6 linked regions of the Canis lupus familiaris genome follow. The protein of the gene in region 6 interacts with the protein of the main gene of each other region in a pairwise test. Links are inferred from orthologs where the notes say so. Each region holds a gene or a part of one and is shown on either strand. Other genes may lie near its edges.

Region 1 (3,789 bases), on a different chromosome or scaffold from region 6:
AGAATTATATTATCTTTTAAACAAGGTGCTTTGTTAAAAAAAAAAAAAAAAATTTTTTTTAAGGGCACCTGGGTGGCTCAGTGTTTGACCTCCTGCCTTTGGCTCAGGTCAGGATCCTGGGGTCCTGGGATAGAGCCCCGCATGGGGCTCCCTGCAGGGAACCTGCTTCTCCCTCCGCCTCTGTCTCTGCCCACCCCTCATGAATAAATAAAATCTTTTTTAAAAAATGAAATAAAGGGCAGCCCGGGTGGCTCAGCGGTTTGGCGCCTGCCTTCGGCCCAGGGTGTGCTCCTCGAGTGCCAGGATTGAGTCCCGCGTCGGGCTCCCTGCGTGGAGCCTGCTTCTCCCTCTGCCTGTGTCACTGCCTCTCTTTCTGTGTCTCTCACGAATAAATAAAATCTTTTTTAAGAAATGAAATAAAAACTGGAAAATGTGAAAAAGGAAATGCGCCACCAAAGAGAGCAGTGTCCGGAGCGTCAGGCCAGCGCCTCTGCAACCGCCCCACCCCGCCCCCAGCCCCAACCCCGGGAGCGCGCGGAGCGGGCGGGAGTCCGGGCCGCCGTTGCCATGGCTACGCTCGGGGGCGGGGCGCGGAGGAAGCGGCTCCGCAGCCGGCCCCGCCCCGCACTGCGGCAGTAACGCCTCCGCGGGCTGCGGTGGGACCCCGGCGGCCCCGCTGCGCCACACCGCCGCAGCCCGCCGCAGCCTGCGCGCCGCCGCCGCCTGTGGCCCCGCTTCCCCGTCCTTCGGCGCCTCCGCCGCCCGTGTGCTCGGTCCTCAGCCGCCCTCACCGCCCGGAGCCATCCCTGCGTCTGCAAAGAAGCCGCTGGCGGGCTGGCGTGGCAGCCACCGCCGCGACCTCAGAACAGGCTCTGCCTCCGGGGACCGCACAGCCCTCGTCTGCAGAGCAGCCGCTCCTCGGCCGACTGGAGGCCGGGCTCCGGCCGCGGACGCCGGGATCGCCTCCGAGGGGAGCCCCGAGTGCCGGCGCCCGGCTGCCGGGAGGAGGCGGCCACGCCCCGCGACCACACCCGGGCGCCTCCGGCCCCGCGGCGCAGCCCTCGCCAGCCGCGCTCGCTGCCCGCCTCCTGCGCTGCGACGGGACGCGACCCCCGGCTGCAGGTGGGGGACCCGGGCCGCGGGCCCCGACTGAGGACGCCGGTGGCGGCGGACGCGTGAGGCGACTGCCCGAGCCTCCCGGGGCTTGGCTCCGGGGACCAGCCGGCGGACTGCCTTTGGGGGCCGCGAAGGAAGAGGGCAGGACTCTGGTGTCGTTTGTTAATTGTGATTGCGTCAAGCTTGCCTCCCTCGCGCCTACGGGGGTGGGGGGGTGTCTGCTGCCGCGCTGAGCCCTAGAGCGCAGGGAGCCACAGCCTAATCCGTCTTTGTAGAATCGGGGCCCTCGCTAGTTGGGGAAATGGCGATGACGCTGTTGGAAGACTGGTGCCGGGGGATGGATGTGAACTCCCAGAGAGCCCTGCTGGTCTGGGGGATCCCAGTGAACTGTGATGAGGCTGAAATCGAGGAGACCCTCCAGGCTGCGATGCCCCAGGTGCCCTATCGAGTGCTTGGGAGGATGTTTTGGAGGGAAGAGAATGCGAAAGCAGCCTTGTTAGAGCTCACTGGCGCTGTCGATTACGCCGCGATCCCCAGGGAGATGCCGGGTAAAGGAGGTGTCTGGAAAGTGGTCTTTAAACCCCCGACTTCCGATGCTGAATTTTTAGAAAGGTTGCACCTCTTCCTAGCGAGAGAGGGGTGGACCGTGCAAGATGTTGCCCGCGTCCTTGGGTTTCAGAACCCCACTCCGGCCCCGGGTCCAGATATGCCAGCAGAGATGCTAAACTATATTTTAGATAACGTTATTCAGCCTCTTGTTGAGTCCATATGGTACAAGAAGTTGACGCTGTTCTCGGGGAGGGACATCCCGGGGCCTGGGGAGGAGACCTTTGATCCCTGGCTGGAACACACTAATGAGGTCATAGAGGAGTGGCAGGTGTCTGATGTAGAAAAGAGGCGGCGGTTGATGGAGAGTCTTCGGGGCCCCGCCGCTGATGTCATCCGCATCCTCAAGACGAACAACCCTGCGATAACCACTGCCGAATGCCTGAAGGCGCTTGAGCAGGTGTTTGGGAGCGTCGAGAGCTCTAGGGATGCGCAGGTCAGATTTCTGAACACTTACCAGAACCCGGGAGAAAAGTTATCTGCGTATGTCATTCGTCTGGAGCCTCTTCTGCAGAAGGTGGTGGAGAAGGGGGCCATAGATAAAGATAACGTGAACCAGGCCCGCCTGGAGCAGGTCATTGCCGGGGCCAACCACAGCGGGGCCATCCGGAGGCAGCTGTGGCTGACCGGGGCCGCGGAAGGGCCTGCCCCTAACCTCTTCCAGTTGCTGGTGCAGATCCGCGAGGAGGAGGCCAAGGAGGAGGAGGAGGAGGCGGAGGCCGCCCTCCTGCAGTTAGGCTTGGAGGGGCACTTCTGAGGCCCAGGAAACGGCGACAGTGCACATCTAGATCGCAGCCGCTTACCTTGTCTCCGTGCTCTTACAGATGTGTCCCTAGTGGTAAAGACTTCCGCCATGTGCTGTTTTGGGGGTGGGGGTAGGGAGTCAGGCCTGAGTATTCATGTAACATTAGTACAATCGCGCAAATGAGCACCCTGAGCTGCTACAAGTGAGTCGTACTCGCTGCAATGCCAGGTAAAGACTTGTACACAAGTGCTCAGTGCCAGCTGTCATTGTGGCAATCATCCGTTGTAAAAACCATGTGAATCCCTGACACTTCTCATTGAGATAATTGTGAAATTGCATGTTCAGATGTTTTAGCGTGGGGCCTGGCAAACACAGGAAGTGTTCGGTAAAAATATGAGCCGTTGTTACTAATATTGTGAATAGTTTTTGTGTTTACAGTAAATTGTTCCTAAGTTTTTTCCCTAATTTATATTAATGGAAAGAAATGTGACTCATACTATTTATTCAGCCTTACAAAGCAAATTGTTTTATTTTTCATCTCGAAACATCTGGATCACTTTAATTGAAAAGTATTCTGAGACTATGGAATGGGATGTTAGAAAAATACTGCAATTCTAGAATTGTGTGAATCAATTTTTCTGTGTACAAGACACAGGGAGTGTCTTGTTGCATGGGGAGATTAATAAGAACCAGTTACAGTATCTATTCCCCCATTTCAAATCCTTGTCATTGAATGGTAGTTCTTGTTCATGCTGATTCTAAGTGTTCTAAATTTGAAGTTGTCAAAATACATGTATATGAATAAAAGTATTTAAAAAATTCTATTGTCTTTTTTTTCTGACACATATATAAAATTTCAGTGTAATTAAGCTCTATATTTATTCTCTTAGGAAGATTTCCTGGTGTCACTTAAAAAAAATATAACTTCAGTTACTGTATCTTTAACCTTATAGCATACTATTTGAGTTTGAATTACAGAACCTTTCAATGTATTCAATTTTTGCATGTTTTCTACAAGGCAAATATTAGAAGGCTGAACAGACCTAAGTCAATATTAACTTACTATAAAAAGTTAGGAAATCCTGAAATGGGGCTCAGGATGTTATCTAGTAATGCTTTTTCTCCCCTTTCAAATCCCTTTTCAGGGATCCCTGGGTGGCGCAGCGGTTTGGCGCCTGCCTTTGGCCCAGGGCGGGATCCTGGAGACCCGGGATCGAATCCCACGTCGGGCTCCTGGTGCATGGAGCCTGCTTCTCCCTCTGCCTGTGTCTCTGCCTCTCTCTATCTCTCTCTCTGTGACTATCATAAAAAAAATAAAAACC
Region 2 (4,145 bases), on a different chromosome or scaffold from region 6:
ACCCGGGATCGAATCCCACATCGGGCTCCCGGTGCATGGAGCCTGCTTCTCCCTCTGCCTGTGTCTCTCTCTGCCTCTCTCTCTCTCTCTCCGTGTGACTATCATGAATAAATAAATTTAAAAAGAAAAAAAAAAAATTAAAAAAAAAAATTAAAAAAAAAAAAAAGAACATTGTGTTCTGGGCAGCTGGATGGCTCCTTCAGCCCAGGGCGAGATCCTGGAGGCCTGGGATTGAATCCCACGTTGGTCTCTCTGCATGGAGCCTCTTTCTCTCTGATGGATAAATAAAAAAAAAAAAAAAAAAAAAAGAAAAAAAAAAGAACATCTTGTGCTGGGGGCGCCTGGGTGTCTCAGCAGGTTAAACGTCTGCATTGGGCTCAGGTCATGATCCCGGGGTCCTGGGATGTGCAGCCCCTGCATGGGGCTCCCTGCTCGGCGGAGAGTCTGCTTCTCTCTCTCCTTTGCCCATCCCTCTGCCGGTGCACTCTCTCTCTCTCAAATAAATAAATAAAATATTTTTTTTAAAAATGTCTTGTGGGGCAGCCCAGGTGGCTCAACGGTTGGGCGTCCGCCTTCGGCCCAGGGCATGACCCCAGGGTCCTGGAATCGAGTCCCACGTTGGGCTCCCTGCATGGAGCCTGCTTCTCCCTCTGCCTGGGTCTCTGTGTCTCTGGTTAACAAATAAACAAAAATCTTAAAAAAAAAAAAAAAGGTCTTGTTTAGCTCCATCTCTGTACTTGCGCAGAGGCGGCGTATCTTAAAATGAAGGTTGCCCGGGGCACTGCTGCCTTAGAGGGTGGCACCCCTGCCCTTAAGGACAGTGAGGGTAGGGACGAAGGGAGAGAGAGGGAGGCTACAGGAGGCGGCAGGCCGGGCCCTGCGCGGGGCCTCCCTCGGGCAGAGGGGCAGCGACGCAAGTGCAGGCGGGCACCTGCCGGCGGGACGGGCAAGGCGGCCAGGACCCACTGACGGCGCCGCCAGCCCGCGCAGTCCAGGGGCCGGGGCCGGGGCCGGGGCCGCCGCGCTCCGCAGGTGAGGTCACCTTGAGCTGCTGCGCAGAGGTGGAAGCAGGTTCCGGGGAGCGGCTTCAGCGGCTCTGCCCCCGAGCGCCCCAGAGAGAGAGAGAGAGAGGAGGGGGGGGGGCGGAAAAAACAAAGGCAAAACCAAAAAAAAAAAAGCCAACAACCGTGTTTGGAGACAATACCTGCATTCGGTTTTCTTCCCGTCGTGGGACGCGGGTGGGGGTGGGAGGGCGAGACCCAAGGGGCGGGGCCGCCGCGCGCCGGGGGGGCGGGGCCACGCGCGCCCGCCCTCCAGCTACTGGACGCCGCGCGGGAGGGGCGGGGCTTCCGGTGGCGGCGGCGCTCGGGCGTCGGGTGACGCGAGGCGGACGGGCCGTCACGTGACACGGAAGTGACTACGAACAGGAAGAGGACGAAAAAAATAACCGTCCGCGACGCCGAGCCGAACCGGACCCGCAGCCACCATGAACAGCAAAGGCAAGGGCAGGGGGCGGCCGGGGCCGTCGGGGGGACAGTGCTAGCCTGGAGCGAGCGGGCCCGGAGCCCGGGGTCGCCAAGCGGAGGCTTGGGGCGCGCTGCGCCTCCCTCCCCGGCCGGCTGCGGCCCCGGGGGCCGCGCCAGACGCCTTCGTCATCCCCGAACTGCGGCTGCTCGCTGCTTCCCGGCCCTTTCCTCCTTAAACTCTGTGGCGCAGTTTGGAGCTGCGGGCTCGGGTGGAGGGGCGGGGGGGTGCAGGGGGGAGGCTTGTCATGATGGGCATCTGCGGGAGCAAATGGGGAGCTAGAGCAGGGATGCGGGTCGGCCAATGGCGCGCCGGCGGGGGCGGGGCTTCGCGCTCCGGAACCAGAGGCCGGCGCCCGGGCTTAACCAGTGCGGCGCCGGCGGGCGGGCCCCGGGGCCCGGGGGCCCGGGGGCGGCGGAGGGGTCTCCCTCCGCGTGCCTCGCGCGGCCGCCCGAAGTGCCCCCGGCTCCTGGGACTGTGCCGGCGTCGGGCCCCACACGGTCCTCCGCTGTGCCTCAGGACGGTTCCCGTTATCCTCCCTCGGGTCCCGAGGGCTCACGTCCATCGCGCGCTGTATTCGGAAGGCGACCTTGAGTAGGAAGCGGCGGGGCAAATAACCCGCAACCTCCGTGACCCAACGAGGTCGCGGCTCGGTCCAGCCAGGCCTGTGGCGACCACCCGGAGCCGGGGCAGCGCGTCCCTGCCGTTGGGCACGGGCAGGAACGGGGCCCCACACCTGCCCTGCATCGATGGAGAAGCTCGGGTGTGCCAGTGGGAGGACTGCCCCGGTAGGAGTAGGGATAAGGGTGCGAAGAGAATATTCTCTCGGCCCCAGAAATCAGCCCCCACCCCCACCCCACCACCCAGAGCGGTCTGTCTACACATCTCCAGCTTGCTGCCCCTAGGGCAGCTACCCAGGATGCTCTGCCCCATTTTGGTGGCTCTGTGTGGTAGGCAACATGCATTTTCTTTTTCTTTCCTTTTTTTTTCTTTTTTTCTTTCTTGTCTTCCAGGTCAATATCCAACGCAGCCAACCTATCCCGTGCAGCCTCCTGGGAACCCAGTGTACCCTCAGACCTTGCATCTCCCTCAGGCTCCACCCTATACTGATGCTCCACCTGCCTACTCAGAGGTGCTTCCAGTTTACTAGACTTGAACCCAGTGCTCTTGGGTCACATCTTCAGTCCTTAGCTAATAAGCCTGAGTCCACGCATATCTATTCAGTGTCCGTAAATAGGAGAAGGGAGGGCTCACGTGAATAGTCTGAAACACTGTACACTTCAGCGCAATTTCTGTTGGGGTTGAGACTGCATCATCTGATTGTTTCATGTTTTTTTTTTTTTTTTTTTTTTGGCACCGGGTGAGGTTAAGAAGATGAGCTTGCGTTCCTTGAGCCTCACGTTAGCTATGGCAGGAAGTGATGCAGGAGGGTACTGAGTGGCAGTGGAAAGGCAGTTTGTGTAACTCAAGAGTGTAATCTGCACAAGGACAATTAAGAATTGAGCGTAGAAGGGATCTAAAATCGGAATGTCATAAAGTAACCTGTTGCCTTCTCTTCTAGCTCTATCGTCCGAGCTTCGTGCATCCGGGGGCTGCCACGGTCCCCACCATGTCAGCTGCATTTCCTGGCGCCTCACTGTATCTTCCCATGGCCCAATCTGTGGCTGTTGGACCTTTAGGTTCCACAATCCCCATGGCTTATTATCCAGTTGGTCCCATCTATCCACCTGGTTCAGCAGTGCTGGTGGAAGGAGGGTATGATGCAGGTGCCAGATTTGGAGCGGGGGCTACTGCTGGCAACATTCCTGTGAGTATGACCTTATCAGAACAACTCAGCTCTTACGTAGTTTAACTTTCTGAAGAGATTACATATTCATCCTTTCACCATCCCTGGGTAATAGCTGTGGTATGGGTATAAGCACTGACATCCAGTAGTTGGGCAGAAAGCAGTTGAGGGGGCAGGAGAACTGTGGCAAGTCAGTAGCATCTGGCACATTCCCTGGGGCCTGAGTTAACCAGATTCCTTTGTTTTCCTATACCTCTTTAAAGCATTAGGAGTCCTGCCTGCTGCTTTTGCAGTTCCACTTTGGTACTGGTCTAGTAATACTCCTTATTCAGCCTGTAACATTTACTTCAAATTTGCCTTCAGTATGGCATTCCATTAAGAAACGTGATAAAAGAAAAACGTGATGAGTAAAAATGGAGAAAGACACATGAGATAAGCACTGTGTGTTATATGTAGGCAACTTGAATTTAAATAAAATAATAATTTTTAAAATCCTGAAAAAAATGAAGAAAGCATAGTCCCCTATTAAGTGGCATTTAGAAAGATACTAGAGATTTTAGTTATGTTGCCTGCTTAGCTCCCCCCTCTATAAGAATTAGAGCCCAGGTGGTCCTTGCCTCAAAGCCATATACCTGAAATGAGGTGAGAATGCCTTTAAATGAGTGGTAGGCTCTTTTCCTGTCTGTACCTTTGGGTTCACAGAGAATATAGACCTGCTTTACAACCCACGTTGGCAGAACTAGCTTTAAGATGTGATTGGTCAGGACACTGCCATCTTTCTAATGGATCCTGTTTCACGTGTGTCCACTTCCCTTGTCTCAGCTGCCCTCTGCCC
Region 3 (4,091 bases), on a different chromosome or scaffold from region 6:
TCCCCTCCACCCACGCCAGGCCACCGTTTCCAGGCAGCAGGACACTCTAGCTCCTGGTGCACCCGCAGGTTGCACGCCAACCTCACGGCCCTACCAGCTCCCGAGGTGCGGGTGCTAGCCCTACAGCTGTCTCTGGGGCGGAGTCTGTCCTGGGCTGGGAACCCAGGAGCAAGTCTCTCGGCCCCTTTGGCGCCAAACCCCAAGTCCAGGCCCCTCTCCGCGGGGCAGGGGGAGGGGCAAGGGAGGCGGAGGGCGGCCCCTGACCTCGCCCGGCTCGCCCCACCTGCTGGAGCAGAAGCACTGGCTCCGCAGAGCTGAGCCCCAAGCCCAAGGAGAAGAGAAGCTGTGTCAGCAAGGGGCTTCGGGACTACCACAGCGCTCCGAGGGGCGGAGCCCGCCCCACTCTGGACGCTGCCCAGGGGGAATGGGCCCCACATCACGGGTACCGGGCACTGTAAGAGGCGAGGCTACAGCACCGCCCGACGCCATCAGGCGGGGGGCGGGGCCTCTCGGAAGGCGTAGCCTCTGGGGCGGGGCTGCCGGCACTCGGCCGGGCCTCGGAGGGGCGGGGCTCTGGCCTCCTGGGGGACCCGTCGCCAGAAGGCGAAGAATCGGAACTCAGAGAACTACCGTCAGGTTTCTCACAGTCGGACTTGGAAGCATGTTCGGGGGTGGGACTTCCAGGAAAGCTGGGCAGCAGGGTGGGGTCGTGGACAATACACAGAAAACAAGTCGGGGTTCGGGGAGCCCCCTGAAGATGGGGGTGGGACTTCCGGGGAGGGGGGTCTCAGGGGGCGGGACTTGCACATGAAGACCGGAAGTAGGGTCCCGGGAGAGGGGTTCCGGGGTGGAGGAATGGGTCACCTTAGGAGAGGGAGAAGACCTAACTCACCAGGGCCTCATGGAGTCTCCGCACCGCACCGCGGCTCGATTTGGTTCCGGATCACGCCACTGCCTCCTTAGGTCGCCGTTCCAACTTTCTCCCCGGCCTGGCCTCCCTGAAGAAACTTTATTGCACTCACTTCCGGCCTCACTAACCCCTGACCCTCTACCTCAGCGTCCCTCCTTCAGCCGTCCCACTTTGCCGAATCAGCCAATGGCAATGCGAGAACGCGCACGGGGGCAGGAATAGCCAATTAGAGGCATATTTTTTCCCTACGCTCATTCTTGACTAACGTAAGCAGCGCGGTCCAATAAGGACTCGAACAGAAGCAAATCTAAACCAATCGGCGGCTTGAAGGTGGAGTAGTCCCGCCTTAAACCATGGGGTCCAATAGGAAGCGCGGGCGGCGTGTTTGAAAGCTAGGCCAAAGTGGGTGGGAGCGCGTGCTGCTGGGAGTTGTTTGGAGGTTGCCGGAGTGGGCCTGACGGTCCTCAGGCTGAGTGATCATGTCGCACAAACAGATTTACTATTCGGACAAATACGACGACGAGGAGTTCGAGTACCGGTTAGTGCCGCCGCGGGGGCCATAACGAGGTCGTGAACTTTGACAAGTGAGGGCAAGAGGAGTTAGTCACCGGGGCTGAAGCAACAGGACCGGCGCATGCGCGGGGGACTCCCGGGGCGCGGGCGCGGAGCGTAGCAGGGCGCCTGCGCGAGGGCCTGGCGGCGAGAGGGCGCGGACAGCTGCGGACCGCAGTGTGTCCCGCGCCGGGGAGCGGGCGGAGGGGGCGTGCCTAGAGCTCGAGGCCTCCGCACCCCGCACCATGCGGGGTTCTGGATCGTTCTGGGAGCTTCCCCGGGCACGTGGAGGTTGCCCGCTGGGGCGTGCTGGAAAGAAGTGGCCGCAGCGGTGCTGAACGATCCGGGAAAGGGGGCGCGGGCGTGCGGCTCGTGGGAAGGTCTGACCCGGCGACGCAGCGCCGCAGGCTCGGGAGTTGCGCCCGGGCACGGTGTGACGGAGGCAGCGCCGCCCCTCCAGGAGGAGTACCAGGGAAGAGCGAGGATGCTGCCCGCGTGCCGTTTTGGCTTCTTCCTGGAAGAACGTGGGATGGAGACTTGGCAGGCTTGCGTTTCCTTCCCGGCCAAGTGCGGGGCTCCGGGGACTCGGCGTGTGCTGACCCTTGGGGGACCCAGGCCACTTAGGTTTCTTTCCGCCGCTGACTGTGCGCTGCCACCTCTGCAGAGCTAGTTTCAGCTCCCCGAAGTTGTAAGTCCGGGCGCTGGCGTTGGGGGGCGTCGGTCGGGTCCGATTAGGGATCGAAGACGCTGTTTGTGAAAGAATTTGCTACTAGTACACACCTACTGTGTTTTCCCTGAGCATGATGGGGTCTATCTGGAGTAGCCCAACTCAGGTGAGAGTAAGGATTTTTTTTTTGCCATGAAAGGAGATTTATCCTTGGTTAGGAAAACCTGGGGTTTCCCAAGAGGAGTCTCATGGCAACTCTTTTCAGAGTTGGGAAAATGAAATGGAGGGTACATTTCAGAGGAGAAGATATTCACATTTCATCCTTGTGATGGCTCTTCCTCACAGCGCTCCACAAGAGGCCTTTCTTCTCCACAAAACCAGCCGTTTTCAAAACTACCTTTAATAATTAACGCTGTGAGTGTCGTGGGGCTGCCCTTAGATCGTTCTAATCAGCTAGCAGACTGAGCTGGAGGAAGGCAGGGGCGCGGTGTCCACAGCGCCTGTTCACTTGAGTTACTCACGCGTGCTTTTTAACATACTTGGGGGGACGATTTGCATAATCTGGCCTTTATTTCTAGCTGCCTCTGCCCCATGATAAGAGTACATAAACTCTCCCATTGGGAACCAATTTTTTCTTTTCTTTGCTCTCTTGGCTTTGTACACAAGCATTTGTCTAACACAACTGCACCCAGTACTGATGTGATCCCTCCGTGTTTCTGTTACAGGCATGTCATGTTGCCCAAGGACATAGCCAAGCTGGTCCCTAAAACCCATCTGATGTCTGAATCTGAATGGAGGAATCTTGGAGTTCAGCAGAGTCAGGGATGGGTCCATTATATGATCCATGAACCAGGTCGGTGCGATGGCTGAAAACAACCATTTAGGGCTCCTTGGCTGAGGAAAAGAGGAATGATAAGATGGTATAACCCAAAGAAATAGAGGTGAGGGTGGTCTATTGGTTCCTCACCAGCCACCTAGAAAAATCAGAGTGATGGGATCCCTGGGTGGTGCAGCAGTTTAGCGCCTGCCTTTGGCCCAGGGCGCGATCCTGGAGACTCAGGATCGAATCCCACGTCGGGCTCCCGGTGCATGGAGCCTGCTTCTCCCTCTGCCTATGTCTCTGCCTCTCTCTCTCTTTCTGTGTGACTATCATAAATAAATTTTAAAAAAAATTTTTTTTAAAAATCAGAGTGACAAAAAAGAGTCAAGTACTGGGAAGTTCAGAAGACAACCTGTCCCTGAAAAAACTCTTTCAATCTCTAATTCAGTCTGAGCATCACACACACACACCCGTCACCCTTTTTAAGGCCACAAACACCCTGGTAGAGGTTATGGATCCTGCATCATTCTCCATGAGAAAGCAAATTCTCAGATGTGTCCCAAATAAGCCAAGGGAAGTATATTTCTTGATAAGACACCAGACCCACAAGCAGCCAGGCAAATCTAATAAAGGAGGTGGGCAGGGGATGGGGGGGCTGTACAAACACAGCAAAGGAACTGATGCTAATAGTTCTCTGCTTAGCAGACAGGCCCAGCTTTAGGGTCTGCTTCTGAGGCCATATGCTTACATCTTAATGTAGTTCTAAAGGTCTGAAATGGGAAGGGGACGCACTACACACTGCAGAGACCAGGGTGAGCGTGTCTCTTCAATGTCACTCTTTCAGAACCTCACATCTTGTTGTTCCGACGGCCACTGCCCAAGAAGCCGAAGAAATGAAGCTGGCAGCCACTTTCCAGCCTCAAGCTTTACACAGCTGTCGTCGCTTGCTAACATCTTCCTGATAACATCATTATGTTGCCTTCTTGTTTTCTCACTTTGATATTTAAAGGATGTTCAGTACACTGTTTGTGCTGCTGACTGTTTTGCTTGAGCAGAGCCAACAGCACCATGGCCCGGCCAGTTGAGTGCTCTTTGGGCTGCAGCCTCAGCTGAGCTGTGTACCCAGCAGAGCACACTTGGTA
Region 4 (4,188 bases), on a different chromosome or scaffold from region 6:
CAGCTATGGGAGAACTTAAAAAGCAGGCGAAACATGTACTGTTTCTTGGACTCCAGGTAACATACCTGCAGGAACAAAGCCACTTGAAAGAATACCACAAATATCCTAACTACAAAATTCTGAAACCGTCCGTTCAGGTGTTCCCTCCCACGGATAAATGGGGTTTCTACCCCAAGGAACGCTCCGCCGCCGCAACGTTTTTAACTTTGTTACGGACGCACCACATAAAATTCACGCTCAGGAGTCAAAGTGCTATTAAAACAGCCAAGATGATCTCTTGGCGAGTTGTAAACTCTCAAACTCTTTTATTCGGCTTCCCCCACCCCACCCCAGCCGCATCGCCCCTAAAATTTACAAACCCTAATCACCCAGATTCGAGGTCTTTGACTCATCAGAGAAGAATGCAGCTGATGAGTTATCTATTAATCCAGAATGCCTCAGCTGGAAAGAGATCGCACCGAGAACTTTTAACACTGAAAAGGGAGGGGGAGGGGGCAGGGAACTGAAGGTGTCTCCCCGCCGAGAACTTTCCCCGAGTTCCTTCCTTCCTCACGCCGCACGCACAAACACCCCCCACTCCCAGCCCCGGTCGCAGACTCGGTCCCGACCCTCTGGGTCCCAGGAACCGGAGGTCACCCGGGAGTCAGCTCTCGATTCCGCTTTTAAAATCCCACGCAGACAAAGCTGAGCATTATACTTAGCAAACTCCGAAAAGTCCTCAAAGTTACGCAACTTTAGAAACGCGCTCTGCGAAGAGACCCCCCCCGCCGCCCCCCCCCCGGCCCGGGGCCACAGGTCGCGGCGAGGGCCGTGCCCAGACCCCGGACTGCGGCGCCCAGGTCGTGCCCCCGCCGCAGCGAGCCCCCCGGTACCTCTTCCTCCTGAAGGTTGGCCTCGCTCGGGGTGTTCTCCTTCTCGGCTTTGCCGCCGTTGTTCATCTTCCCGGTCCTTCCTCGCCGGGCAGGGCTGGGGCGCGGGGCTGGGGCGAGGGCGCGCTCGCCCGCTTGTCCCTTCCCCGGGCGCCGGGGCTCCCTCGGGCGGGCGCCGCGGGCTGCGGGGGCTGGAGCCGGGGCAGCGGCGGCTCGGGCTCCGCGGCGAGGCGAGGCGAGGCGACCCAGGAAGTGCGCGGGAGACACGGGGCAGGGCGAGGCGCGGGCCGGCGGGGACGGAGACAATCGGGACCGGGAGGGAGACCTGGAGAGCGCGGGCGGGCGGGCGGGCGCGAGGGAAGGAAGGAAGGAAGGAAGAAAGGATGGGGCGCGGGCGCGCGTCCCAGGAGGGAGCCCAGAGAGTTGGGGATGTGGCCGCGTCGGGGCTGGGGGCGGCCGCTGCCCGAGCCTGGCGGGGGCCGGAGGGAGGGGGCGAGGGGTGCCCAGACCCGAGGAAGAGGAGGAGGAGGAGGAGGAGGAGGAGGAGGAGGTGCGGGGCGCGGCTGGGACGCTGGGACCCGGAGAGCCGCTGAGTGCGCGCTCCAGGCAGGCTCTGAGAAGTACGGGATCCAAGCAGCTCCCTTTCTCTCGCCCTCCTCCCTCCCCTCTCTCCTCCCCCTCCCCCTCCTCCTCCTCCTCCCTCCGCCCTCCCTAGACGTGGGCTGCCAGCTTCAGCCCGGAGGGACGGGACGCGGGACGCAGAAGCCCCCCTCGGGAGGAGGGGCCGCCCGCGGCCGGATGGCGCGCGCCGGGGAGGGGCGGGGGGCGGCGGGCGGAAGCGGCCGACCCCAGCCCCCCGACTCGGCGGGAGGTCGGAGGGCAGGGGCCGAGGCGGACGAGGGAGGGAGGCCAGGTCCTCCCGCTTCCCCGGCCCCCGGGGGCCCCCGGAGCTGGCGAGCTCGCGCGGCGGTGCGCGCCCGCTTGGAGAGGGGCTTCGGGGCGCCGGGCCGGGCCCGCGCGACGCCCGGGACGCGCCGTGGGCTACCGCCGTGGGGATCGCGCCCCCGTCGCTCAGCCTGCCCTGCCTCTGCAGCACCGGCTCAGACCTATTTCCTCCCTTCCTACTTGGCAGCTCGAAATGACAGGATGCGAGAGAACGAGCGAGGTCCGGGGGCAGCCGGCTCGGGGCCGGCGTTTCCAGGGCGCAGCTTCAAACCCACCTCCCACGCCGGGCCCTCCCAGGCTCTCAGCCCCGGCCTTCGCCCTCTGCTAGGCTTCGCGCCCCCCTCTGCTCAGGCCCCTCTCTCGGCCCTCAGCAGACCGTCCTGGAATTGCTTACCTGCCTGCCTCCCTCACCCTTCCGGGGGAGCCTCCCCACAACGCAACGCCAGCCTCACCGTGTCCTTGTTTACCTTGATAATCCCACGGCTAGTTAAATACGCTACCGGGTATACAGTAGGCACTCAATAAATACTTGTTGGCTAAGTGACTGTTGCTCACGGCGAGCCGAGCTGGAGGCCAACCCAGATGATCTTCGGAGGGTCAAAGCCCCTTAAGGAAGAAAAAGGGCTCAGCATTCTGGGAGGGGGGCACCCAGTACCTGTTTAAGCACCACGCGCCAGAGGACTGCCTGGGTTCCGTTTCCTCACCTGCGAAATGGGAGTAGTTATAGTTACCTCCCAGGGGGGTTGTAATTAGAGGAGATTATAGGTTGGTAGAGCTAGAGCACCCAGCACTCATTCCTGCCCGGTGTAAGTTTACAGAACAGGGAAACTAGCATTATTATTAAGGAAATTTCCATTTTCCCGGGGCCATAGAGAGCTTCTCCATTCCTGTATCATAAACACATAAATTTAAAAGGGCCTCTATCAGAAGATTCTCCCTCACTTCCCACGCCCAGGAATTCTCTCACACGACATGCTGTTCCTTTCCAGCACAGTACCAATCACAACTTCTATTTATTTGCTCGCTTCACTGTTTATCTTTCTCTGCTCTCCCCCCTCCCCGCCAGACATTCTTCACCCTGTACTGGTTTAAGTGCTGCTGGGGGTGGGGTGGAGGTGGGGGTGAAGATAAGGCTCCTGCTTCTAGGGAGTTTTAACTGGTGTTGTGGAGACGAGACACCCAAAACAACTCCATGGCCACATGATCAGCGATCCTGGTTCAAATAGCAGAAAGCAGAGAAAATACTTGTGTGACGAGCGTTGTGAAGAAAAACAGAGTGGTAATTCTTGCATTCACTTACTGGGGTTTTCTTGGGTTGGGGGTGGGGGAAGTCTGAAGCTTTTGATAAATAGGTTTAATTGCTGTCAGGATGTCATGTGCCTCTGTGGGGGGGGTGGGGGGAAAGCGTATCCTGGATGAAAATAAACCAAGAAACTGTTGAACTTGCAATGGAAGTTCAGAAGAGGCAAAGGCCACCACGATTAATCTGGAAATTTGGAGAGCCTTTCCAATCCCAGTCCCTCCCTCAATTACGTAAAGAACCACGAGGGGGCAATGTGTTCCTGAGCAATGGCTGCGTGGTGGTCTTGGGCCCCTGCGCCACCAATAAACACAGGCCCTTTGCCCTCCTGGGCCATTGCCAGGTACTGAATACACTCCACAGAAAGATATTGTCTTGCTGGAGCCTGGCAAAGGCCCAAGAAAAGTGACAGTTGATCTAGTCATTGATGATTCCAGTCAGACTCCACTTACAAGTCGGTGGAAGGTGCTGTATGATTCCAGGATGCTGCTGCTACCTCCGTCCAGGGAAATGTGGCCTAATTCCAAATGTAGAACCTGATTCTTTTGCCAGCACTTTGTCCATTGTTAAAAGTCAAAGACATCTGGCATAAAAAAAAAAAAATAAGGGCTAGAAGAAGATCTTTGTCTGATTTGATCGTTGTGTCCCCAATATCTAGACAGTGCCTAACACATAGTAGGCTCTCGGTGAATATTTTTGAATAAATGAACACAGTCTTATCAGAGATTGATTTTCAGCCTTGAATGACATCACATCTTTACAAAGCCCCTGCAGGAGGGACTGAATAAGTGGAAGTGTCTCAGCATAGGGAGCCACCACAAGGACACTAGGCAGATTCATGGTAGTAGTCTTTAGGCATTATTTTGCAGGGGAGACCCACCTAGATAGAGAGCTTGCTCAGAATGAGACAACTGATGAGATTTCAAAAATAAATAAAATTGCAGGTATTTGGATGGCTCAGTGGTTGAGCATCTGTTTTTGGCTCAGGTCATGATCCTGGGGTCCTGGGATCAAGTCCCGCATCAGCTCCCCTGCCTGCTTCTCCTTCTATGTCTCTGCCTCTCTCTCCGAGTC
Region 5 (4,297 bases), on a different chromosome or scaffold from region 6:
CATGTGGCAGATCTGGGACTTGAACCTAAGACTGTCTGACATCATAATCCATTTTCTTTCTAATAGACAACATATACCTCTTCAAAATATAGCTGTCTCTGTATTAATTCCCCACTTCATTTTATTTTTAAGTATTTGCTAATGTGTCAAATAAAGTAATTATTAAAATCAGTTTACAGTGGGAAAAACATAAGAATTGGAGGCCACACCCCCGCTACCTATAACTACTCCCTTCTTCCTTTTATTTCTGTATAGCACTTACTATCTTTTTTTAAGATTTTATACATTTATTCATGAGAGACACAGAAAGAGAGGTAGAGACATAGGCAGAGGGAGAAGCAGGTTCCCTGCAGGAAGCCCAATGTGGGACTCCAGTAACATGCCCTGGGCTAAAAGTAGGCACTAAACTGCTGAGCCACCCAGGCATTCCTAGCACTTACTATCTCTAAAATTAGTTTGCTTTATGACCTTACCTATTTTCTTCATTACTTTACCTACTTTTCTTCATTACCTCTAGCACCTAGAACAGTGCCTAATTAAAGTTAAATACTTAGCAAATGAATAAATAAATGTATTCATAAGGACAGGTCAAAATTTGTCTCTTTACTAAGCTATGTATGACAGGCTTGACAAATCTACTAGCCTGTTAGCTTTTAAAGTCTCGTTTCTTTAATGGAAAACTGCCTAAGGTTTTTATAAGCTAAAATCCATTCATTCAAAAACTACTTATTGAGCACCTACTATATATCTTTATTATACTACAAATATTAGTAGTATAATATATACTACTATACTATATATACTATACTATATACTATATACTATATATATATACTATACTATACTACTATATTATATACTATAATAATATATATTATAATAAATAATAATTAGCAGAGTCTCTTCAACTGGGTAACCAAGAAAGAAGACATTTGAGTTAGGAGGTGAAGGAGTAAGACATGCATAGTGAGGAAAGAATTTTTCAGGCAGTGAGAATAGCATGTCAGAATGACTGTATTTTCAGAGTGGCTGTAATGCAGGGAATGAATGAGAATGAACAGGAAATTAGATCAGATATAAGGGAGAGTCAAAGATGGGTTGTGTAAGGCCTTGTAGGCCATTGTAATAATACTGGCTTTTATTCTCAGAAAAAAAAATAGCAGCCATTGAAGGGGTTTGAGCAAAAGTGGAACATTCTGTGACTTAGGTTTTTAATGGGCTCAGCACTTCTCAATGGGGTTGCTATTGGTATTTTGGGTAGGCAATTTCTCTTTGCCCTGACCATCAAGCCCATGGTTGATCATTTAGCATCTCTAAATCCCCAGACCTTCTGAACTAAAAATGCTCCCACTTATTTTCAGAGCTATGCTATAAATAGACTGAAGGTAGGTGTAAAGAGCCTATTTTGATATTCCAGGCAACAGCTGGCATTATCTTGAGCCAAATGGTAATGGTATAAATTCAGAATATATATTTTGGCAGATAGGATTTACCAGTGACATAGATACGGATGTGAGTGAAAGCTAGAAGTCAAAGGATGACTCCCAGGTATTTGGAATGGGCAAACAGGAGGGAGTTGCTATTCACTGAAGTTGTGAAACTGAATATGGATGAAGCCAATTTGTGAAGAAAGCAGGAATTCAGTCAAGACACATTAAGAACTACGATGTAAAAACAGATATATCTATATTTTATGGAAGAATTTTGTAAAATGGGGTAATGAGGACTACTGCTGAACTGAAGGATTTTGCTAGGATGTGTTTTATGAAGGTAAAGAGTTAAATATTAGATAAATGAATAAATGATTACTAATAATGAATAGTAATATATTAACCAGTTTAAGCAATCAGATTATGTCAAGAAAAGGGTTTTTTTTCCTTCTTTATAAAACTATAATCCAAAAGAATGAGTCTAATTGTGGAATTTCAAACGATAAATGGTGTGGAAGTAGGTAGGCTTTTAATGCTGTTAAAATCCCACCAGGCCCATATTGCATGGAGTAGATATCCTGCAGTGAGATTAGGCTCAGCCTTGGGAAAACAGTGGGTGCACTACTGTCCTGTACCTCATACTGACTAAGCACCATCGCTTCCAACACAGTAGAGTCAACAGTCAATAAGTGCGAACTTTTCCACATCCATAGGCAATTTAAGGATTTCAGAGGAAAAGCTTTATCTAAACATGGTTTAGACATTCTTTATCAGTTGAATTTAGTCATTCTTCCAGAGATGGAACAAATGATCTGAATTGACACAATGAACTAACTGATACACACAATTTAGAGTTGGTAAGAGGAAGTGTCCAATCGCATCACTGATGGAACTTTCCCCTAGAGACAGGATTCCACCTACCCATGAGTAGAAAAGTCTCATTTTGAACAGCAATGCTCATCATATAAACATGAAGTTTCCCTCCAAATGTGTTGAGTAACCAAACTCACATAGTCAGAAAAATTTCCTTCTCTTTGGATTTATGCGGCATTTATGAACATTCTATCACAATATGTTCTATTAATAGCCTCTATGATTTGATACAAGGGAAATATTTGTATTCAAAAAGAAGTCCTTGCACTCACATATACACAAGTACACTTTGCTTCCTTCAAAACATGGCATCATTTTCCAGACTGACTTGGCCTGTTGTGTGATACCCATCCTTTTTCGCTCTGTAACATTGGTGGAGGGGAAGGGGATGCAATGCTTCAGTCAAATTGTATCCCCAATCACCAGTTAGATAAAGAAGTTAGAAGGTTCATGCAAAGGTGGTTACTTGAACTGAAGTGGGAGGAATGTGATAAAGAAGTAGTAGTGGCAGACAGATGCCCCATGGGCTTCATATTGTTGTTTCACAGAAGGACATACTGTGTCATAATGAATTACCACTAATTTGAGCCAGCAGTACTGTTAGATTGAGCCCGGCAACCCAGAATGACAAACAGTGCCTGCAAGATCATCTAATGAGGGGACAAGGCTGCTCCAGTAGCACTGCTTCACTCAATTAGTGGACAAGGCTTTTAATGCCGCTCTGCACAACTAAAGCAATTTTGATTACTTAGAGCTAAGTCTCCATTTAGAATGTTTCGGAAGCTGAAACAGGGTTTCTTTCTTTTTTTTCCCTTTAATATAATTTATCTTGAGAGTATTTGAATGGTAATAAGCTATTTGAAAGCCAATCACATTATTTCCTATTTTTCCCTAAGTAATATTGAAATACATTTTTTTAAAGTTCAAATGATAGAATTTACTCTAGCAAATGAAATGTAAATAAGATAGCAAATGATTAAGGATATGCCGAGGGTGTGTGTGTGTATGTGCGTGTGTGTGTGTGTGTGTGTGTGCATGCGGGCACTATGTGTGTCTCTCTGTGCCAGAATTACAGTTGGTGAATTTCATTTCATCAGCCAACATTATCAGGAGGGTTGCATATTTATTCTATATATCCACATTTAAAAAAAAATTCCAGATCTTGCCTTCTTTGGCTGGGAGCACTTATATTTCATAGCTTTTGATATGGGGAACTGACGTTTCTACTTAGTTATTTTTTTTTTCACTATGTCACTGAATGATGAAAAGCACTCATATGTGTAATGGTACAACTTTCTTTAATATCGTGATCACTGACTTAGAACTAAACAGAGGCTATTTAGGCTTAGCAAATTCCTTTCATTCTCATTAGAAACACACAGGGTTCTTTATACATGGCTCTAGACATCTTCTGGCTTTCTATCTATGCAGTGTGTGTAATTCTCAGACTGCTAGCACTTTGTGAAATTCTATGAAATTTTGCCTATTTGAGTAGAAGGTCATTGAGTAAAAGGAACTAATCAAGTGCTAGACACAAAGTAGGTGCCAATAAATTTTTACTGAACTGACCACAAATTCTACACAGATAAAGAAAGTAAACCTCATGAGGTTCCTGGGTGGCTCAGTTGGTTAAGCACCTGCCTTCGGCTCAGGTCATGATCTCAGGGTCCTGGGTCCTGGGATTTGGCCCCACATTGGGCTTCCTGCAGTGGGGAGCCTGCTTCTCCCTCTCTTGCACCCCCCCCCCCGCGCTTGTGTTCTCTCTCTCTCTCTCTGTGTGTCAAGTAAATAAAATCTTAAGAGAGAAAGAAAAAAAAAACAAAAAGTTTAAAATTTTAACATTTGGCTCACTGGAAAACCCATAGTTAAATAAAATAACAATTTTCTTAATTCCAAAAAGGTTAGCTCCAAAGGCATGTTACACTTTCAAGGAGAGGATTATGTATTAATAGAAAATGGTACATTATTGGTATTGTTTTTCTAGTAAATAGAAA
Region 6 (3,500 bases):
CCTGGAGAGAGGCCTGGAGAAGCCGCAGGGCTGCTCCTATGGCCGTCTCTGGAGCCATTTCCATGGACCCTGAGCTGGCGTCCTGGGCACTAACAGCTGACAACTACCTCTCTGGTGCCAGAAACAGTCACTCCAGCCCAGAGCTGTCAACTGGGTGCTGGGGGCCTGCTCCCTCCCACGGGAGCCTGGGGTCGGGGACCACATACCTCCTTCCCCAGCAGGCAGTGGTTCCGTCTGTCCCCAGCCACCCACCAACTGGGGGCTCATCCCAATGCCTCCTGTTCTTTCCCCAGGACTCCCCCGAGGCAGGCGGGGAGCGGGAGGAGGACCAGGAGCGGGAGGAGGAGCAGGCCTTCCTGGTCAGCCTCTACAAGTTCATGAAGGAGCGACACACGCCCATCGAGAGGGTGCCCCATCTCGGCTTCAAGCAGAGTGCGTCCCTGGGTTGCAGGCAGGGAGGGGGAGCCCGGCAGGGGATTCCATCCAGGCAGGGTGTCATGCAGGCACCTCCACTCTGGGCAACCCTGGGCGATGCCAGCCCACAGGGCTTGCACACAGAAAGGGCACCCCCCACCCCAGGCACAGGGCTGCAGTGGGTGGGGCCGGACTTCTGTCCTCACTGGCCACTGGGCCCCCAGTGCTTAGGGCCTGGCCTAGCCACCCGTTGCCATGGCCCTGTCTGGGTGTGTGTTGGTTCTGTGCCTGCCTGACAGGTCCACGGGGATGGGCTGCTGGCTGCCCCTTCCTTCCGCAGAGACTGATGGGGGCCCTGCCCTCTCTCTTCTCTAGTTAACCTGTGGAAAATCTACAAAGCAGTGGAGAAGCTGGGGGCCTATGAGATGGTAAGGAGGGTATCTCAGTCCTCAGCATGTTGCATCCTGCAGCCCGTCCCCACTACCCTGTGGGGACCTGGGGAGGAAGAGCCTTGTCTGGGGACAGCGCTGTCCTCACTACCAGACAGGAGGAAGAGGCAGGGTCCCAGAGCCTGCCGCTTCCCCAGCTCTCCTGCATGCTGTGGGGAGGAGGGCCTGCCTGGCCCACTGGTACTTTGCTGCTTCAAGCAGGTTTTCCTGTCTTCCCATCTGTTCTGTCTTCCCCATGCTCCCCAAGCTGGGAACACTGCCCGGGCCAGCAGTCAGGCAGTGGCCCCTGGGGCCGGAGGACTGGCTAGTGGCCAGGGAGCCCCCTCCAGTCTCCCCACTGCTGCTGCCAGAGAGGCAGGTGCCAAACTGCGGTCCTTGCCCCCAGCCTTGCCAAGTGGGGACCTGGAGCGGCAGGGACCCCACCACCTGGGCGGCGTGTGCCTACCATGCACTCACGTGGTGCCCTTGCAGGTGACCGGCCGCCGCCTCTGGAAGAACGTGTATGACGAGCTGGGGGGCAGCCCGGGCAGCACCAGCGCAGCCACCTGCACACGCCGCCACTACGAGAGGTACGGCCGGGGTGAGACCTCAGGGTGGGGCACAGCCGCAGTGGGGCCAGGAGTGGGGTGCCCGAGGGGTGCGCTGTGCTTCCTCACCACCCAGAGCCCTGTGGGGTGGCTGGCCTGCTGCAGGCCTCCTGGATGACGTGGGGAAGGGCGCGGCCCTGGTGGCAAGTGGGCCAGGCCGGCCTCCCGGTGGACACGCTCTGCTCCTCCTCAGGCTGGTGCTCCCATATGTGCGGCACCTGAAGGGGGAGGACGACAAGCCACTGCCCCCTTCCAAGCCCAGGAAGCAATACAAGATGGCTAAGGAGCCTCGGGGGGATGATGGGACCACTGAGAAGCCGAAGAAGGCCAAGGAAGAGAAGCGGTTGGATCAGGTGAGCTCTGTGCCTGCCTGGGGCCACCAGCTGACCCTGGGCCTTCCTCCCCCTGCCCTTGCCAAGGCACAGAACTCCTTGCCCAGAATACCGAGAACACGCTCTGAGGGGCAGACCTGGGGTGGCAGGGGAGGGGGCTTTCCGGGGTAATGGTTGTGTAGGGTCAAATGAGGGGCCATGTCAGGTCTAAACTCCAGTCTGCCCCACAGTCACCAGGCCCCATGTCCTGGTACCAGGCTGCGTCCATTCAGAGGACGGGATACCTTTGGAAAACCTTCCACAAAGGCGCTGGAAGGGCTAGCAGAGGCTCTTGGGAATACCTCTGTGCCCCTGCTGCCATGGGGTCCCTAGGTCAGGATACACAGCTCGCACATCCAGCCCTGAGGCATGGCCTTTTCTCCTTCCAGATGGTGCCAGGAAAGATGAAAACAGATGCTGCCCCTGACCTGGCACGGCTTCCCAACCAGGAGGCCCCCAGGGAGGGCCCAGAACAGCCAGGCCCGGCCCTGGGGCCCTCTCCACCCTTTGGGGGTGCCAGCGGCTGCCCTGAGGCCTACAAGCGGCTCCTGTCCAGCTTCTACTGCAAAGGAACACATGGCATCATGTCACCACTGGCCAAAAAGAAGCTCCTGGCCCAAGTGAGCAAGGCAGAGGCCTTGCAGTGCCAGGAGGAGGGCTGTCGCCACGGGGTAGGCAGCCCTAATGGGGACCCCCAGGCATCCCCTGCCATTCTCCTGTCGGAAAGTCCTCAGAGCCCAGGAAAGCCAGCTGAGAACTCCAGGCACCGGCTAACCCCTCCGGAGGGGTTACAGGCCCCTGGTGGCAGCCTCAGGGAGGAGGCTCAAGTGGGTCCCCGCCTACCAGCCCCCATCTTCACTGGCTGTTTCCACGCATACCCCACTGAGGTGCTGAAGCCCGTCAGCCAGCACCCCCGGGACTTCTTCCCCAATTTTAAAGATGGGGTGCTATTGGGGCCCCCTGGCAAAGAGGAAGGCCTGGCAGTCAAAGAGCCCCAGCTGGTGTGGGGCGGGGATGCCAACCGCCCGTCTGCATTCCATAAAGGCAGCTCTAGAAAAGGCAGCCCCTACCCCAAGCCCAAAGCCTGCTGGGTGTCCCCGATGGCCAAGGCCCCTGCTGAGAGCCCTGTTCCCCTGTCTACCTTCCCTAGCAGCCCCGGCCTGGGTACCAAGCGCAGCCTGGAAGAAGAGGGCTTTGCCCATGGTGGCAAAAAACTGCGGGCAGTGTCTCCCTTTCTTAAGGAGGTGGACGCCAAGGAGTGTGGGGCCAAATCTATGGGGTCTGGTGTGGCCGTGTCCTGCCTGCTGGGCCCAGCGCTGGGGCCTGCCCTCCCTGAGGCCTACAGGGGCACCATGCTGCGGTGCCCACTGAACTTTGCTGGCACCCCGGACCACTTAAAGGGCCAGGCCACTCTCCCCTTCAGCCCCCTGGTCATCCCTGCCTTCCCGGCCCACTTCCTGGCCACTACAGGGCCCTCACCCATGGCCACAGGTCTGATGCACTTCCCCCCGTCATCCTTTGACAGTGCCCTTCGCCACAGACTTTGCCCAGCCTCGTCTGCATGGCATGTGCCACCTGCCACAACCTATGCAGCACCCCACTTTTTCCACCTCAACACCAAGCTTTAGGTTGGAGCTTGCAGTGCTGTGCTGTGCTATGCTGTGCGGGGTCTGAAGTGG

The links.
Region 1: the proteins of ARID5A (region 6) and PNMA1 interact in binary tests that used the Homo sapiens proteins (3 or more experiments, as listed by UniProt). The two-hybrid records come from large-scale screens. The link is inferred for Canis lupus familiaris from reciprocal best matches to the Homo sapiens genes ARID5A and PNMA1.
Region 2: the proteins of ARID5A (region 6) and DAZAP2 interact in binary tests that used the Homo sapiens proteins (3 or more experiments, as listed by UniProt). The two-hybrid records come from large-scale screens. The link is inferred for Canis lupus familiaris from reciprocal best matches to the Homo sapiens genes ARID5A and DAZAP2.
Region 3: the proteins of ARID5A (region 6) and CKS1B interact in binary tests that used the Homo sapiens proteins (3 or more experiments, as listed by UniProt). The two-hybrid records come from large-scale screens. The link is inferred for Canis lupus familiaris from reciprocal best matches to the Homo sapiens genes ARID5A and CKS1B.
Region 4: the proteins of ARID5A (region 6) and RBPMS interact in binary tests that used the Homo sapiens proteins (3 or more experiments, as listed by UniProt). The two-hybrid records come from large-scale screens. The link is inferred for Canis lupus familiaris from reciprocal best matches to the Homo sapiens genes ARID5A and RBPMS.
Region 5: the proteins of ARID5A (region 6) and SOX5 interact in a two-hybrid assay, tested with the Homo sapiens proteins (2 studies listed by BioGRID and IntAct). The two-hybrid records come from large-scale screens. The link is inferred for Canis lupus familiaris from reciprocal best matches to the Homo sapiens genes ARID5A and SOX5.

What each region holds. Positions count from the first base shown.
Region 1 is NC_049229.1:47,276,435-47,280,223, reverse strand, and holds PNMA1 (paraneoplastic antigen Ma1), read left to right. Parts: upstream 1-1,163; 5' UTR 1,164-1,417; coding exon 1,418-2,479; 3' UTR 2,480-3,289; downstream 3,290-3,789.
Region 2 is NC_049248.1:43,029,625-43,033,769, forward strand, and holds the start of DAZAP2 (DAZ-associated protein 2), read left to right. Parts: upstream 1-1,345; 5' UTR 1,346-1,486; coding exon 1,487-1,499; intron 1,500-2,537; coding exon 2,538-2,656; intron 2,657-3,085; coding exon 3,086-3,254; coding exon of another isoform or gene 3,255-3,331; intron 3,332-4,145. UniProt on the Homo sapiens protein: In unstressed cells, promotes SIAH1-mediated polyubiquitination and degradation of the serine/threonine-protein kinase HIPK2, probably by acting as a loading factor that potentiates complex formation between HIPK2 and ubiquitin ligase SIAH1.
Region 3 is NC_049228.1:42,484,136-42,488,226, reverse strand, and holds the start of CKS1B (cyclin-dependent kinases regulatory subunit 1), read left to right. Parts: upstream 1-1,291; 5' UTR 1,292-1,389; coding exon 1,390-1,448; intron 1,449-2,854; coding exon 2,855-2,982; intron 2,983-3,793; coding exon 3,794-3,846; 3' UTR 3,847-4,091.
Region 4 is NC_049237.1:34,777,312-34,781,499, forward strand, and holds the start of RBPMS (RNA-binding protein with multiple splicing), read right to left. Parts: upstream 2,801-4,188; 5' UTR 2,519-2,800; intron 2,421-2,518; 5' UTR 2,282-2,420; intron 1,195-2,281; 5' UTR 939-1,194; coding exon 873-938; intron 408-872; exon of another isoform or gene 393-407; coding exon of another isoform or gene 369-392; intron 1-368.
Region 5 is NC_049248.1:23,356,332-23,360,628, forward strand, and holds the start of SOX5 (transcription factor SOX-5), read right to left. Parts: upstream 2,801-4,297; 5' UTR 2,655-2,800; coding exon 2,576-2,654; intron 1-2,575.
Region 6 is NC_049238.1:34,496,492-34,499,991, reverse strand, and holds part of ARID5A (AT-rich interactive domain-containing protein 5A), read left to right. Parts: intron 1-293; coding exon 294-432; intron 433-789; coding exon 790-842; intron 843-1,334; coding exon 1,335-1,432; intron 1,433-1,643; coding exon 1,644-1,803; intron 1,804-2,210; coding exon 2,211-3,449; 3' UTR 3,450-3,500. UniProt on the Homo sapiens protein: DNA-binding protein that may regulate transcription and act as a repressor by binding to AT-rich stretches in the promoter region of target genes.